Kluyveromyces lactis: one gene and its partner. The protein of the gene in region 2 interacts with the protein of the main gene of each other region in a pairwise test. Links are inferred from orthologs where the notes say so. Each region holds a gene or a part of one and is shown on either strand. Other genes may lie near its edges.

What was found.
Region 1: the proteins of CDC31 (region 2) and THP1 interact in binary tests that used the Saccharomyces cerevisiae proteins (3 or more experiments, as listed by UniProt). The link is inferred for Kluyveromyces lactis from reciprocal best matches to the Saccharomyces cerevisiae genes CDC31 and THP1.

What each region holds. Positions count from the first base shown.
Region 1 is NC_006040.1:315,060-318,538, reverse strand, and holds THP1 (Thp1p), read left to right. Parts: upstream 1-1,331; coding exon 1,332-2,693; downstream 2,694-3,479. Other genes in the region: YNK1 (nucleoside diphosphate kinase), read right to left, coding at 227-685; type 2A-related serine/threonine-protein phosphatase SIT4, read left to right, coding at 3,367-3,479. UniProt on the Saccharomyces cerevisiae protein: Component of the SAC3-THP1 complex, which functions in transcription-coupled mRNA export from the nucleus to the cytoplasm.
Region 2 is NC_006039.1:836,251-839,074, forward strand, and holds CDC31 (centrin), read right to left. Parts: upstream 1,111-2,824; coding exon 607-1,110; downstream 1-606. Other genes in the region: MRPL40 (mitochondrial 54S ribosomal protein uL24m), read right to left, coding at 1-305; NIP100 (Nip100p), read left to right, coding at 1,379-2,824. UniProt on the Saccharomyces cerevisiae protein: Functions as a component of the spindle pole body (SPB) half-bridge. At the SPB, it is recruited by KAR1 and MPS3 to the SPB half-bridge and involved in the initial steps of SPB duplication.

The DNA of each region.
Region 1 (3,479 bases), on a different chromosome or scaffold from region 2:
GGTAGAAACGTGAATATACCCAACGCAAGTCGGGGTTACAAATATGAATACAACATCGCAGTATAAAGCTTAATGGATTTCAAAATGTGTGTATTTGAGATATATCTACATAGTAATAAATACCGACACACAGATACACATCATATAAGAAAAGACATCTTTAAATATGGAATAATTGTGGGAAAGAATATGTATTGATAAAGTGAACAATTTGTCAACGTTACATTTATTCGTAGATCCAAGACAATTGGTTCAACTTGTAGTCAATAAGTTCTTCCTTCTTGAACCACAAGCCGATTTCCTTTTCAGCAGATTCAACAGAGTCAGAACCGTGACAGACATTTCTACCAACTTCAATGGCAAAGTCACCTCTGATGGTACCTGGAGCAGATTGCAATGGGTTGGTAGCACCCAAGATAGCACGACCTTGCTTAACAACATCCTTACCTTCCCAGACAGTAGCTAAAACTGGACCAGAAGTCATGTAAGACAATAGAGATGGGAAGAATGGCTTGGAAACCAAGTCAGCGTAGTGCTCCTTCAACAAAGCTTCGGTTGGAGTAACCAACTTAATACCAACCAATTTGTAACCTCTGTCTTCAAAACGAGCTAAGATCTTAGAGATCAAACCTCTTTGAACACCATCTGGCTTGATAGCAATGAAAGTTCTTTCAGTGTTAGACATTTTTCTCGAGTTAGTTAATACGTGATTCTGTGTACGATCCTGCTATGAACTAAGAATCAATGGAACATAAGCAATCGCTAACCCCAGAAGTTGAAATAAAGTGCATGGAAAGAAGAAAGTTACTGCAAATTGAAATCAACGAAATTGAAATATTTCTCGAGAGAGCCAACGAATGAGGATCCGATTCATGCTCGATGAGATTGGTGCAGACGAAGAAATGCCGGGGAAAATCGAAAATGAGAGAAAATTTTTCCGGCACGTGACTTTGATTAGTTGATGTTTGGGGCTTCTTACTGAGGAAGCTGTAAAAGTATGGTTCATCATACACAATAGCAGAAAGGTGTCCATATCGTTAGCAAGCGCATTCGGAGGTTGGGATTAGGCGAAACACTGTATGTAAACCCCAAAGAGTGTTTATGGATATATGTCGAGGCAAGTCTTCAAGTGACTTTATCGATCACGTGACAAGAAAAATCAACAAACGGAAATCATGGTCTCTTGAAACATTGTACCTGGCTCATCTAATATTAAGGTTAGAATCAGACAAATCAGAAAAACTTCTGGTTGACATTTGACTCAGATCACCTTTATAGGACAAACTTTGAATTGAAAAGCGCCAGTGGATTTTCCTTTGTGGTTTTTGGTTATGGACCATTTCTTTGGGGCTCTAAAGGCAGGTGATTTTAGTGTATTGGATATAAACATCGAAAGAAATGGACAATTAATTCTTGAATTGCAACAGTTTTTGAGATCCAATGACAGCATTGACCTTGAGACCCTGATAAATTCACATTCTCTTTATGAGAACAGATGGACCAGGTTTAATAATTTGGTAAGTTCATTTCTTGGGTACTGTAAAGAACTGAATCCATATTCATTATGGGAATCGTCCTTCTCTGTGTTCCAATATTACCAGGATTTGAATACATGTCTCACAAACGAGACAACAATGTACCCTATTGATTCTTTGGTACCACTGTTTACAGCTACAACAGAATTGGTCATTCCAATGGCTATTAGATTGGATGCTAACCATAAGATCATTGGTACAAGACAGCATCAGTTTCTGACCCATATTGCTTCCATCATTTCCAAATTGTTCAATAGCATTAAAGCCAGGGTCGATGATGATAAGGTCGAATTTGATCATTTGTCAGGGAAACAGAAGGTCTTGCTTTATATTTCAAACAAATTGAACATGATTTATTTCAAGATTAACTCCCCATCTTCGTGCGCTAACATCTTCAAGAATTTGAAACCAAAGTCTAATATCTATTCGTTCAACCAATACCCGTTGACAGAGAGAATCCAGTATAGGTATTACTTGGGGAGATATTACCTATTAAACCATAGAATGGTTAATGCTTTCCATCAGTTGAACCAATGTTACGAACTCCTAGCCACATTACCCGACTCTATTGCGAAACAGAACAACAGGAGAAGATTGTTGAAGTTTTTAGTTCCATGTGGTATCATTATCAGCAAGTTGCCAGATTTCAACAAGTTATCTCAATGGGACCCTATCCTAGCACAGAAATACACAGCTCTTGTGATTGCCGTTAAAAACGGAAACTTGAACAGAGTAAACTTCTGGCTTTACGAGAACGAATCGTGGCTGAAATCATCTAAATTGTTGATTGTTCTATTGGAAAAGCTACCCATTATAACGTTCAGATCCCTTTTGCGATCTATTTTCCTATACTACTGTATACCGCGCAATTCAAATAAACTACCATACTCTGTGATAAGACCAATTCTAGCAAAATCCATCGGTTTATATCCACCTGAAATGCCATCGATATATAAAGACAATTACACCGCAGAATCACTTGAAAATATCCTTGTCACACTTTCAATTCAACAATTGTGGAAGGGAAATGTGTTTCCAAGCCTGCAAGTGTGCGTTACGATGAAGACTAACGATATCTCAGTAATCTTCCCTAATATCAATGAAAAGATCGTCTCTAGATTTTCGTTGAACCAGGAAGATTCCTGGCTCGATAAGTAAATGATAGATAATATACATATAGTATGTAAAAATAGATGACACAGCCCCTCCTAACCTGATTCGGGTCCCACTATCATACCCAGTCGTGAAACACTTTTGGAAGACTCAATTTTTACAGACATGTCTATATAGATATAAGAATGCTCTCACATATATCTGTTTGTCTTCCAGGTCACATTCTGCAAAAAAAAGTAAGAAATTGAAGAGAAGTTGAAATTTTGTTGAAGTTTCCATTATTTTTGTAAAAGGACTGATGATTACAACAGAAAACAAAGAGAGAAGGAAACATCCTTATAGCTAACTACTTTGTTAACAAGCTTTTAGCCATCAACAAAGAGTAGTGATATAGGGCTGTTCTTTGTTTGAGCTATTGAATTTTCCTATAGTGAGTGAGTGTTTCTTGTTGAAAAGAAAAGGTGCAAGAAATACTTCCAAACACAGGTTTTAAGCTTGTTGTGGTTTTTATTTACAAGAACGCTAATCATAATCACTTTACAAGAAATTCAGAAGGAATTTATCCCAATTTTTTCACAGGTAAGGACTGGGTTTTATTATAATTATTATTTTTTTTATTGACCTTTGAACTTTATCTTCCCTTGTAAAGGTTAATTTGCCATTGCATAAGTTCATCTATCTATAGAGCGTTTTGTCTCCGGAGTGCTAAAATATCACAATGTCAGATAATGGGCCAGATTTGTGGCTTGAGAAGATCAAGAAATGTCAGGCTTTGACGGAGTCTGAGATGAAACAGCTATGCGAGATGATGAAGGAACTCTTAATGGAAGA
Region 2 (2,824 bases):
GTGTTGGTGGGTCCATTCTCATCCAAAATATACCCGTTTGTATGCACGTCGTGCTGCGTAATGGCACAAACATTGCCCTTAAACTTTCCATTTACTATCACCACTCTATCACCTGGCATATATTTCCATTGCTTTACACTCTTATACTTCTCGGATTCTTCGACACGAGGCAACGATGGTTTCAAGAACTCTGGCATCGTCAAACCTTCATACTTGGCAAATTGTTTCGCAATATTAGAGTTCTTCGCTTGAACTTGCTCCAAAAAACGGGCACCAGCCTTCGATAAATGTTTATATGAAGACATACCCGCTGATCTATTTTATTCTAGTATCGAATACCACCGTCCTTTTCACAGAACATAAACCATTTGTGGTTCATTCCATAGTACCATATTGATACATATGTCTTTCTTGATTCCGTTCCTTCAAGTTTTTCATCGACAAATTTTTTTGGAAGGGAAAAATGAAAGCACGTGATCCGAATTAGACTATCAGATTCTTCGCATTTGATTTAGTATTATAGCTTGATGTTACATAGGATATACAAGGTGAGATATACATGCGGCACAGGGCTCCAGCTGTGGCAATGGAAATGGTCGTGAAGCACTAATTGTCAGTGCATATAGCAATGAACTCTTCTTCATTGATCTCTCCGTCATCGTCAAGATCAAACTCATCAATCATGGCACGTAGTTCTTCGTCTGTAAGGTTTTCACCTAGTTCGTGAGCTACACGTTTCAAATTCTTCAATGAGATCTTGCCCGTGTTATCATCGTCGAATAGCCTGAAGGCACGTTTAATTTCATCCAATGGGTCTCTTTGCAATATTTTTTCTCCTACTACCAGGTAAAAATCCTCGTATTGTATTAACCGGCGTCCGTCTGCATCATACCTATCGATAAGTTCTAATATGTCTCCTTTACTGAGTTCAAAACCCAATGCCCTTAGAGCGACTTTGAATTCATGATAGTCGAGATATCCATCATTGTTCATATCAAAGAGTGAGAACGCCTCGTATATTTCTTGTTTCTGTTCTTCTAATAATTCCTTTTGTAAAGTGGATTTATCCACGGATTTCGCTACTCGTCCACTGGGCCTTCTGTTATTCATGTTTCTATGATCCGAATTGGGTTAGATTTCTTGCCGTTGTGAGTCTTGGCTGTAAGTCAATCGAACCTCTTAATTTACCTCTTTTGCTGCACGCGTAAACTTCGTGAAACTTCTTTAAAATATGTTTAAAGATTTCATGTTTATGATTATTTTGACAATATTGAGTTTAAGGAACATAAACACATATCCTGAAAGAAATGAAGGCAATAACTGATGAATACCTTACAGTACTGCCAGATCAACTACTCTTTAGTTCTAAAATGAAACAATGGATCTGGAATTAGGAGATAGGGTAGTGCTACGCAGCCTGGCAGGAACTGTACGGTTTATAGGCGAGACGCAGTTTGCAGCGGGGATTTGGATCGGTGTTGAGTTAGATGAACCCTTAGGGAAGAACGATGGTAGCGTCAAGGGAGTCAGGTACTTTGAACTCAGTGAGGGTAGAAAAGGTCGGATGTATGGTATATTCAGTAGAAGAGAGGGTATCTATAAAAATTCTGCACCGAACTCGCAACAATTTCAGGATCCTGATACTACGAATTCTAACTCATCAGATCCCGAACGATTGAAAAAGATCATTGGAAGATTGGAAGTTAAACTCAAGTCAGTTAATGACAAATGTATTTCGTTTGAAAAGGAGCTGGGATTGAGATCAAAAGAGCTTGAAAAAGTGCAATTTCTCGAGGAACAATTGGAGAAATTAACTTTAGGACGAGATGAGGCAGAGCAACGCAATGATTCACTGATATTTGAATTAGAAAGCTTGACCATTGCTCATGAAAGTGCTTTGAAGGAGCTTAATGATTATAAAGAAGAAATTTTAATAAGAAGAAAAGCAGACGTTGATGTCAACACTGATCAGATAGAATCAGTAGAATCAGATGCCCTTATCAAGCAAAACAGATTATTAACGGTTGCACTACAAAAGCTGCAATCAGACCTAACAGAAATACAGAAACAATGCAACGGTTTGAAAAATAGTAATGAAGAACTGCAAACCCAGGCAGAGACATATTTGCGAACAATATCAGCCTTAGAGAGTAAACTATTTGAAACAACAAAAACATTAGATGAATTGAAACAGCACTTCAGTGCGAATAGTAATTCTAATAACATCATTGAATCTCTTACTACAGAAAACCATCAATTAAGTACGGAGCTTGATTGTCTTAAGTCAGAGTTACTCAAGTTGAAACAAACTCAATTGGCAGATGAAGAACTAGAAGCACTTTATAAAGAGGTCGAATCGGAGCTAAATTCTCAAATAGCGAAACTTCAGGAAACTCTCTCTACTGACGAGAGCATAATTAACGCATTGAAGGAAAACAACAAAACCTTAAAGAATGAATTACAATCACTGCAAAATAAATCGGGGCAATATTCTCAAGAAATGTCACCAGAAGTTGAAGAATTACAAGCAGAACTTACTTCGTTACAATTAAGGAATAATGAGCTTCAATTCCAGAACGAGGTATCTTCTGCAAAGCTTAGCCATCTGAAAGTGGATAACAAAGTGGAGCTACTTTCTCAAATTAAAATCATATACCTGAGAGACCAACTTCTTAGCCAAGACGCTGTGAGTATATGCACATCTCAACTAATTTTATTCATATATTATGCGATGATTAAATATGATGCTGGTGTGACATATTTGAAAGAAAAGATCAATTTGGACTTATTATTGGAATCAGTAAAAAATAGTCATCCAATCAAG